3 linked regions of the Saccharomyces cerevisiae S288C genome follow. The protein of the gene in region 1 interacts with the protein of each later gene in a biochemical or structural test. Each region holds a gene or a part of one and is shown in the gene's direction. Other genes may lie near its edges. The genes, in order: CKA2, SVF1 and FIP1.

Evidence for each region.
Region 2: of the proteins of CKA2 (region 1) and SVF1, one has a biochemical effect on the other in vitro, tested with the Saccharomyces cerevisiae proteins (3 studies listed by BioGRID).
Region 3: of the proteins of CKA2 (region 1) and FIP1, one has a biochemical effect on the other in vitro, tested with the Saccharomyces cerevisiae proteins (4 studies listed by BioGRID).

Annotation. Positions count from the first base shown.
Region 1 is NC_001147.6:439,477-443,154, forward strand, and holds CKA2 (casein kinase 2 catalytic subunit CKA2), read left to right. Parts: upstream 1-2,057; coding exon 2,058-3,077; downstream 3,078-3,678. Other genes in the region: LPL1 (putative hydrolase), read right to left, coding at 1-782; SLD7 (Sld7p), read right to left, coding at 914-1,687; YOR062C (uncharacterized protein), read right to left, coding at 3,249-3,678. UniProt on the Saccharomyces cerevisiae protein: Catalytic subunit of a constitutively active serine/threonine-protein kinase complex that phosphorylates a large number of substrates containing acidic residues C-terminal to the phosphorylated serine or threonine.
Region 2 is NC_001136.10:1,167,023-1,170,780, reverse strand, and holds SVF1 (Svf1p), read left to right. Parts: upstream 1-2,121; coding exon 2,122-3,567; downstream 3,568-3,758. Other genes in the region: PAL1 (Pal1p), read left to right, coding at 1-455; mitochondrial 37S ribosomal protein mS43 MRP1, read right to left, coding at 638-1,603. UniProt on the Saccharomyces cerevisiae protein: Ceramide-binding protein that may transfer ceramides from the endoplasmic reticulum membrane to the cis-Golgi network membrane, and is thereby required for the biosynthesis of complex sphingolipids. Required for survival in response to oxidative stress.
Region 3 is NC_001142.9:602,669-606,310, reverse strand, and holds FIP1 (cleavage polyadenylation factor subunit FIP1), read left to right. Parts: upstream 1-2,107; coding exon 2,108-3,091; downstream 3,092-3,642. Other genes in the region: transcription factor IME1, read left to right, coding at 660-1,742; BUD4 (Bud4p), read right to left, coding at 3,233-3,642. UniProt on the Saccharomyces cerevisiae protein: Polymerase-regulating component of the cleavage and polyadenylation factor (CPF) complex, which plays a key role in polyadenylation-dependent pre-mRNA 3'-end formation and cooperates with cleavage factors including the CFIA complex and NAB4/CFIB.

The DNA of each region.
Region 1 (3,678 bases):
GTCTTGGTCGGTTTAGTAGGAGCATGGCTGTTAACGTTTAAAGCGTTTAGGTCGACAATCTTAGGCAATATTCCTTTATAGCCAGATCCCGGAATCTTTTCTTCGAATGTATATTTCAATTTGTTGTCAAAATCTATAAATGGGTCGCAATCCGTAATAAACGCCGTATAGAAGGCTACCGTACGGTCATTTTTGACATTCGCAAACGCTATCCTCCATTTAAATAGCGAGAGTGCTTCAAGGTACTCACCCTGGCTCAATTTCACCAATATATTGTTACTAGAATTTGCGATAAACATTTCTCTCCCGCTTTTACCTAAAATAGTAGATCCCAAGGTCCTCAGCGCACTATATAACGCACTTTTATATGCTATGCCCGTAGGATTGTAAAACTCTACCCCCAAATGAGGCGTTGCCATTGTAATGAATAATTGTGGTTCAATATCCTCGAACAGTTCTTTAAATTCGGTCAACATCTTACCGATCATAAATCGGGCCACTAATCCGCCTTGCGAATATCCCATTACGCTTAGTTTGGTGATTTTCCCGTCTTTATAATCTCGGATAAATTCACAAACTTCAATCAATGTCCTGTACCCAATGATTTCGATACCATCAAACGTCTTAAACATGGCATTCTGCTTTGGTAAAAAATATATCATATCATCGTTAACATCTTCCTTTTTTAATGTAGTGGATAAAATTGTCCTCATAGATTCCATATGAGTATAGTTACCCCATAGCCCGTGAATCAGCACAAAAAGGTGTTTATCCGAAGTCATCTGAAGCGCTGTATAATATATATGGTTGATCACACGAAGTTTTCTACCGATTATTGCAGTAAAGAGTTGCCACCCTTTCTTTATTATCTTTGTTTTTCATTTTGATCTTATATACTGAAAATCCCCGTTGATCATGATTTGGTAAAGAGCTTCAGAAGAGTTTCCACAGTTTCCTGCAATGATTCAAACGAAACCTCTTCACCAGATCCCATCGAAATGCGTTTTAATTCATCCCTGTGCGTAAATTCAGCTGCATCAAACGTTATCTTGTATAACTTTTGATAGTCTGTAATAGAATTAGAAATACCTCGAAGTCGGAGGCCACCCAAAATTAGCTTGGACAAAGTTTCATTGAATTGAAGCCGTTTGTCATTAATATGCACGTTGCGATACACTTCCGTTTTCGTTCCGATCTTCCTTTGTTGAGATTGTTGTATTATTATATCAATACTACCTTCCTTTGATACGGAGGCCCTTGTCTTTCCAATATCTTGCTTCAATTTGGTGACCTGGCCATCAAACTCATGCTTCATTGTTAGATCCACTTGAAAGCAGTTTAACTCTGTGTTCTCTCGAAATATAATCAAGTATGCTGGCTCCTGCGATCGCTGATCGACCTTGTCAAACAATTCAATGACAATGCCACGATTCGCGTTCCTTAGTTTTGATTTGAAGTAAGCCTGTGCGGTTGCACTGGTACTATAACATCTATATGTATTCATATTTGTGGAGCGGACCCACAAAGGCAGTTTTGCGAGATCTACATACTGAATGAATTGTCCCCTCAACTCTGAAGTTGATTTACTTGCTGTAGGTCGATTGCTCCAAAGTTGGATATCCCTAATGACCAAACTTCCCTGCTTTCCGCTAAGAGTAAAATTTAGTGTGCATAATTTCCGTGACATCAAAAGTCAGGCGAATTGGTGAATGCTGTCCCCTTTCAAGGCAGTCTATCATTTCTTAGTTACCTGCCAACAGGCCTTTATCAGGCCTCAAAGAAAAAAATTTCCTTGCGTAGCCCGCTTTTCGCCCGAACCTGGCAAAGCAAACAGACGATCGAAAAATTTCCAACGATCTTATCTAGGTGGAAGTTATAAAAAGAAGAATAAAGCATCGTCAACCTTTTTAACCTGAATTGGGAAACAACGGGCACACACATTTGTTGGAGTTTGTATGATTGCTAAAAAATAAAAAGTAATTAAAAAAACATCATAGAGTTGTAAGGTCTCAGGGAAATAGAAGGAACAATAAACCTAAAAGAATAGAAGAAACAGAATGCCATTACCTCCGTCAACATTGAACCAGAAATCTAATAGAGTCTACTCTGTAGCTAGGGTGTACAAGAATGCCTGCGAGGAGAGACCACAAGAATACTGGGACTACGAACAAGGGGTGACCATCGATTGGGGAAAGATTTCCAATTACGAAATTATCAACAAAATTGGAAGAGGGAAATATTCCGAAGTGTTCAGCGGTAGATGTATTGTAAACAACCAGAAGTGTGTTATTAAAGTTTTAAAACCAGTTAAAATGAAAAAAATTTATAGAGAGTTGAAAATTCTGACCAATCTAACAGGCGGCCCCAATGTTGTTGGCCTTTATGATATAGTACAAGACGCTGACTCCAAAATACCTGCTTTGATCTTTGAGGAAATCAAAAATGTTGATTTCAGAACTTTATATCCTACATTCAAACTTCCTGACATCCAGTATTATTTCACGCAATTATTGATTGCGTTAGACTACTGTCACTCCATGGGCATAATGCACAGAGACGTAAAGCCTCAGAATGTCATGATTGATCCTACGGAACGTAAACTAAGGCTGATCGATTGGGGCCTGGCGGAGTTCTACCATCCAGGTGTAGATTACAACGTTCGTGTCGCTTCGCGTTACCACAAGGGACCAGAACTTTTAGTAAACTTGAACCAATATGACTACTCCCTAGACTTATGGTCAGTAGGATGCATGCTAGCAGCTATTGTCTTCAAAAAAGAACCTTTTTTCAAAGGGTCGTCTAATCCAGATCAACTGGTAAAGATTGCCACAGTACTAGGAACCAAGGAACTGTTAGGCTATTTGGGTAAGTACGGGTTGCACTTACCATCTGAATACGACAACATTATGAGAGACTTTACAAAAAAATCGTGGACACACTTTATAACCTCCGAGACCAAATTAGCTGTTCCTGAAGTGGTTGATTTAATCGACAATTTATTAAGGTATGACCATCAAGAAAGATTAACAGCAAAGGAGGCTATGGATCATAAGTTTTTCAAAACGAAGTTTGAATAATTGGACAACAATACTCTTAGCAAGGCAATTCTTTTTCCACCACTGATTTCCATTTATAAAAAGCAGGGGTTTTCCTTTTTTGTAGCTTGATATTAGAGAATATCCTTAATGTGAATATTAAATTGCAAACTCTATTTAACAACGAATGTAGATTATTATATGACCAGAAAATCACTTTATATAGATATAAGAGCCTTCCGTAATGCTATGCAAGTTTTGATGAATTATTATATTGTCGTGAGGCGTGTTCCGAGGAGTTTCGTCGCCATTGGGATAGAGATGCTCGTAATCGTACGTGTCTGGAAGTGCCTGCCGACGGTAGCGATGTCTACTCTCGTCCCAGACAATGGAATAGTTTTGGAATTGTTCTACATCATTTATTAGAACACATGATTCACGAAATCTCCCACGTTTGTCAATATCTCGCCTACGAACAGTGTCATCGAATGATATTGAACGCTGAGAGAGCCATTTACCTTTTGAGTAAAATACGCTGCCTTTTTTCAGCAATGAAGAAGCACTTCCCTCCTTTCTTACATCCAATAATTGCTTCCCTTGTTCCTTTATATTCCCCATAGGAAAGTCCGTTGGAGTAGGTTGC
Region 2 (3,758 bases), on another chromosome or scaffold:
CAGTTACTGCGGGATTAGGTTCTAGTACGTTTTTAGATGGGGCGCCGGCCTCCTCAGCTGCCATTAGAAACGACATAAAAGCCCATTCCTATCATAATCGTAACGGTGGTTTACAAAGAAATAAGTCACTTTCTCAACGATTAGGTCTCGGAGGATCCGGTGATAGCAATGCCCCCATGACAGGCGTTAGAAGAAACTTGAGTTTAAGTAGAGACAACTATGATGTTGGTCACAGCAATGAAGGTGTTAGAAGGTCGAAAACCGTTAATTCTCCTAACAGAACGCATAAGTCCAATTATACTACTGATTTCGACGGCCAAGATGATCACAATGAAGATGAGGAAGACGTTTATTTGGGTGTGCGCTACAATGAGCCCAATATGAAAAAGAAATCGACGGGCAGCAAATTACTGAGCAGAGTAAAAAGTCTAAAGGTCGGCAGGAAAAGTCAGTAAAGTGAGCTTAAAAGAGAGAAAAGAAGCTATGAGACACCAAAGCCAGGCAAATAAAAGGGAGAGATACGAATAAAAATAATTTAAGACCACGTTATATACACATTACGAATAGTTTGACTTTATATATTTACAGAGACTACCAACTTATATCAAAAGGAAAAAATTCCCATTACCAGTTTCATTCATAACGTGTTGAATGCTTGGATCTTAGTACGTTGAGGTAACCTTGACTCTACAATTTTCCATTCTATAGAGTCCCATACCCTTTCTAAATATTCTCGTTTCCCAAATACGCCATAATCAGTTAACCATGTTTTTGGTGACGCATCAATGGCTAAAAGCGGGATATATGAAACCTCTTTCCCAGAAAAACCTTTCTGTTGGGTTTCATAAATAAATTTTGTCTTGGCTTGCTTGGCAGTCATCTCAGAATCTTCAAGATTACCGGCTTCTTTGGCTCGTTGTTTTTCCATGTTGGTATATTGGTTATTGAGCTCATTCATTACCCCAGATGTAGAGAAGTTGAAGGGAGTTCCCGCATTGTACGTATTCAATATAAACAGCTTATCATATTCAATATCCCTGTTTGGCATGTCGTTGCGCATAGCACGTTTGTCGAGCTGCCGTCTTGCGACTAACCACGTAAACCCGTCGCCTGATATAGCAAGATTTGAATTTATTAATAATGTTCTGAACTCCATCAAAGACCCAAATGAAGAAATTAGAGCTGCTTGCAAACGTTCGTTGCCAGTGGTCAATGGCTCATTGCTTATTGTCCTATTGAAATCAGGGGTCTGAAGTAGCGCCTCTGGACCTAGCCTGGGGCATTCCTCTGGCGGAGTCCTGATACATCCCTGAAGGGAAGACATGCTAAATTTCAAGTTGTACAATGATGACGCATAGTTCACGATATGTTTCTTTGAAGCAGATTTCGAATTTTCATGGATGAGAGTTTCTAAGGGTTTTTGTTGCGCTTCATTTGTACAATCGTTCAATTTTGCATCGAGATATTTCACTCGGTCGAACCATGCTTTCTGTAATCCTTCAATAGAAAACAGCCCTTTCAGAGGAGCACCTTCTTTCAGGTGCTCGAGTGCATACCTAGTAGAGTACTTTCTAATAGCGCGAGCACCAGTAAAGCGAAGCATGGTGCTGGAAACCTTAAAATTCAAAAGTATTTAGATTCCCCCAGCTGTTAAATGGCAAATCACTGATTGTTTCCAGATCCTAGCTAAAACTGCGGTTCCTCCCACCGTTTCTGCCATACTTTTCATCACTTATGCATTATGATATTGCTCTTGAGAGAATCTGAGCAAAATCCTGCATAATATAAATCTCACTTTCCACGGAACTTCAGGTCCGGTTTAGTACCGCTTTTTTTCGTTGTTTTTTTGTTGTTGAGGAGGCAAACTTGCGATGAGTGGGAGAAAACAAAAGCGAAATGACAGCTGGTTGATTGAAACATTCGGGGATATCTTGCAAGATTACTCCTTGAGATTCACGAATAGCACGGCTTTTCGTTTGTTATATATAGATAGAGCCTGTTGATAGAATTCTTTTGTATTCGTTTGATAATTTGAAATCTGTAGAAGATCAAAAGATTCAGTCATTTATTGCATCGAATCAAGAAAAAAGAAACGAATAAGCTTTTGTATAATATAATATAATGTTGAAGTGGATAAAAGGTGGGATCTCAGCAGTCACTGGTATGGCTGAGCCTGAATATGGGAAAGATTACATTCATAGTGTTGCTGATAGGGTAAAAAATAAGCAGCCTTACAGAGAAACCAGTCGTGAAGATTTTTTTTGGCAAGCTCCTGACCATACAAACGTTGAATCGGTTATCTTTTATTTCAGTGACTTGAAAACAGGTATCTTTGGATTTGCCCAGGTTATTCATTCGAACATCATTGGGTTGCACACTGCATCCCAATTTACTTTCAGAATTTTTGACTCGAAGAATCCAGAGGATTTGAATATCTGGACTTCCACCAAGTTGGAAAATTTTTACATCGAAGGTCCAAACTTCTATGCCGACAATCTTTCTGTAGAATTAAGTGAAGACGGTGAAAGCTATCACATTCAATCCAGTGTTTGTGATTTATCTGTCGTTGACTTGCATATAAGAAGGTTAACCCCTGGAGCCAAGATAGGCGATGATCCTGCGACTTATTATGGTAACAATATCAATGAACCATGGGGTAGCATGAGACACGTTTTCTGGCCAAGGAATGCTTGTCACGGTACTATCAAAGTTAAGAAAGAAGTTATTCCAGAATCTGATGAAGAAGAATCCTCAGCTGATGAGGATGATAATGAAGACGAAGATGAAGAGTCTGGTGATTCTGAGGAGGAATCTGGTAGTGAAGAAGAAAGCGACAGTGAAGAAGTCGAAATCACCTATGAAGATCGTACGATTACTTTTAAAGAGGAAGACCCTGCGATTTCGACATTTATAATGGCCTTCCAAGGCATGAAGCCTCATCACGCAGCTAAGGCATGGAACTTCATGTTTTTCCATTCCGAAAAGTATTCCGCGGTGTTGATGGAGTTCACTACACCAAAATCATATGCCAACACTAAAATTTCTGCTGGTATTATTACCGATGATAAAGAAGTTTTAGCGATGACAACTAACAATCTTGTTGAGCACTTAAACTCAGAAATTGATTCTGTTGGTTGGAAAGTTCCAAAAGATATTAAGATCACCTTCAAAGGTATCAATACCAAAGTCAAGGATGAACAATTGGAATCCGAGAATGGGACTGAACAAGCTTTACAAGGAGAGGATGAAAAGGAAGATGAAAAGGAAGATGAAGAGGAAGAAGAATACAAGAACGTCGCAGAAGAAAATAAGATCTGTGCTGTTGTGGAGGGTCCGTTGAACAACCTAGTTGAAAGAATTGATGTGATGGGCGAAATTCCAAGTTTTGTTAAAAACATCGTCTCTGGTGTTGCTGGTACTAAGCCATTTATATACCAATATGCTGATCCAAAAAGCTCAACTTTACAAATAAATGGCGGGGAGAAAATTCACGGTGTAGCTTGGACCGAAGTAACATTCATTTCTGAATCAGATGTGATTAGTGAGGAGTCTTACAATGAAGCATGAGCAAAAGTGGGAAGGTCTCGTATGCTTTTTCCTATCTGTGATTTAATACTACACAAATCTAATATTGCAAATTTTAATAATTATAGCAAGTTATCGTTATACCCCTTTTTAATTGTTGCGTCACATAATCGATACTATTGTTCAAAATAAGAGTGATGCGAGAAATAGCCACAGTAAACAATGTTGCCATA
Region 3 (3,642 bases), on another chromosome or scaffold:
TGATTGCGCAATTTTGGCTGCATCAGAATACATCGATGAGATCTAGAGCACCCTTTGATGGTTTAAGTCCGGTTTAAAGTTAGTAGATCAATGATTTCGTAGTGCATTTTAAAGGGAGCGCTTATCCATGGGTGATTGCGTTTACAACGTTTTGTGTGTACTCATAATAGCCAATCTAAAATTAAACAACAACAACAACGCACAATTAATATGTATCAGCCCCAATACCTTTTTCTCTTACTGTAATTTACTACTAAATTGGGGTCGGACGTTTTTGATCTTGTTCCTTGCCTGTTGTTTACCTTGTATATTACTTTTCCTCTTTTATGTATTTAAGGTAAATTAATTATCTTTTGATCTTAATATTTTTCTCAAAATGCTTCCCTTGTAGTTCGGTATTTTTGCTTCTTCAGATATTTAAACTACCGTATACCATAACTGTTTCGTGAAGTAGATACAAACATCGACTATCCTATTACGATTTATTTTACATTATCATATTATAAATCGACCAGTAGTATTGTTAAAGATTAAAAGCATAATATACTACTGTCATTAGTCACCTACAGAGAAACAAATTCCTACTGGCACCCATTACTGGTGAAAAAGGAAAAAAATAATAAAAGAAAAGCTTTTCTATTCCTCTCCCCACAAACAAAATGCAAGCGGATATGCATGGAAAACTTCACGCTGCCTTAGAAGATGGTTTCTTCCTCTTTCCTTTTGAACAGCAACAACAACCTAACATTTATTATGACACAACCACCGATCAAGAAGACCGTCCTTGTTTTTCTTTTGGATCTACAATTTCCCCTAGAAGTTGGCATTTTGAAAAGTCTGACAAAATTGCCTCATCTCAGCTGCAGAACTTGGTTCATACACAACCAATTCATTTAATTAATCCTCAAATATTGTTCAATGAAGAGTTTCTGAATTTGGAAAATATTGATTCTCAGCCTATTTCCAAGGAAACGAAAACTACGAAGGACTGCACAATGGCAACTGGTCCTGAAAGAGGAAAAAAGAGCTCTGAAAGTACCAGATCCTCTTCATTATCATCTCTTTTTTCTAATGATGAATCCGCATCTACGTTCCACTCATCATTCAATAACCATGATAACTTTCAAAAGAGCAACAGAAATGGAGATGATATCGATATTAGTGACACAATAAAATATGAAACTAATACAAATGCACAAAAAGATATCAAAATATTCCAAGAAAATTTTGAATTCAATGAATTCCCATACACACAAGACTTCTACCCATATACCACTAATTATACCTATTCAAAACCCACAAATATTCATGAATCAATAAATTCAAAAAACACGGATTCATACTCCCAATATCAAGATCAGTTTCCACCACATACTGATAACATACATTCCTTTAATAATCGTCACTATAGCAACCATAAAAGCACTAATTGTAATTACTATAATAATACCAGCAATAATAACAACGCCTCCGATAATGTATATGAGGCAGATCCATTTATAGATGAACCTCAGGTGCCCTCCTACTATTACCCATTAGAAATTGCCTTCGACGTTGAAAAATCACCACCGCCATCACTACAAAAATTAAATTCAAAAGAGTTAGAATTCCTAAAAAAGTTGAACTCCAAACTGTCAAGATATGCTGCGGCTTACTCCTTCAGCAGTTCTAATGATCAAGATTATTATGACAAGGTCAGGTTTCAAGAAATATCCTACAAGTTTAGTAAAACCTATTCTTAATTCTCGAAAAGTACTACAATCTTCCCCCTTCCCTCAAAATATATCCATTCACACTCATTTCTTTATTTCCATTGTCTCACTCAAATTGCTAAGAATTTGTGTATTTGCATATATATATATTATATATAGGTATATATATGTATTCAATGTCTCAAGCTCCATGACATAATACCGTAGCGTTATTAGCCTTATCGTATGTCGCGATGGGAAAGGAGATTCGTTTTAATCTTGAAAAACCTTCGTAGCGAATAATGCGACATAAATCTTGAGAGAGTACATCACCAAATTCACTTTGTTAAACCGCACCATCGTGCTTTGCATTCTTATTCCTTTTGCCTACACTAAAATTATTAGCATTTCTCTAAATGAGCTCCAGTGAAGACGAAGACGACAAGTTCTTGTATGGTTCCGACTCCGAATTAGCACTACCTTCATCTAAACGATCAAGAGATGATGAAGCAGACGCAGGTGCGTCCAGTAATCCTGATATAGTTAAAAGGCAAAAATTCGACTCTCCCGTGGAAGAAACTCCAGCTACTGCCAGAGATGATCGTTCTGATGAAGATATCTACTCTGACTCCTCAGATGACGATAGTGATTCTGACCTAGAGGTTATCATAAGTCTGGGTCCTGACCCTACTAGGTTAGATGCAAAACTACTCGATTCTTATTCTACCGCAGCGACATCTTCAAGCAAAGACGTAATTAGCGTAGCTACAGATGTATCCAATACCATCACAAAGACATCAGATGAAAGACTAATAACAGAAGGAGAAGCAAATCAAGGTGTAACGGCAACGACCGTAAAAGCTACAGAGAGCGATGGAAATGTACCGAAAGCAATGACTGGTTCTATAGACCTGGATAAAGAGGGAATCTTTGATAGTGTTGGCATAACGACAATAGATCCTGAAGTATTAAAGGAGAAACCCTGGAGGCAACCGGGGGCCAACTTAAGTGATTATTTCAATTACGGTTTTAACGAATTTACCTGGATGGAGTATTTACATAGACAGGAAAAACTACAACAAGATTATAATCCTAGGAGGATCCTAATGGGCCTATTATCCCTCCAACAGCAAGGGAAGTTGAATTCCGCGAATGATACAGACTCAAACCTCGGTAATATAATTGATAACAACAACAACGTAAACAATGCAAATATGTCTAATCTGAACAGTAATATGGGTAATAGTATGTCTGGAACACCAAACCCTCCCGCTCCACCAATGCATCCAAGCTTCCCACCCTTACCTATGTTTGGTAGCTTTCCACCATTCCCCATGCCAGGTATGATGCCACCCATGAACCAACAGCCTAATCAAAATCAAAATCAAAATTCGAAATGAATGGGGATCTGTGAAATTGAAATAAAAATATATCGTCCATGATTCACGTATTTACTCTTATTATGTGTATTTAATTAATCTTTAAACTAAAGACCTCTCAGTCATCAGATTATATGCTGTTTTCATTCCATTAATCACCTTCTAATTAAAATCTTGCTTCAAATTATGACCGGTTGTTCGAGTCTTTTCCTCCTCAGCTAACTTTTCACAATACTTTTTCACCCAGGGTTGATGGAAAACATTCAACTCAACAACTTCCTGGAGCTTATTGTACCAATCACTTTTTTCCTCATTAGAGCATTCCGCGTTGAAAGTAATTCTTTCACCATCGTCAAATACTAGCTGGAAGCATTCATTAAAGAGTACCCAATCTGTAAAATTCCTTTGCCCTCCATTATCCGCCTGGATGTCTTCATTACGTAGGACTTTCGTGACTTTCAACAGATTAATATCGATCTTAGCCTTTCTAGAGATTTCATGATAACCAGAAAGTTGCGAGCCGTGCAGTTTGAAAAACCTGTTTTCTATCTTTCCTTTCAGATCACCACCAT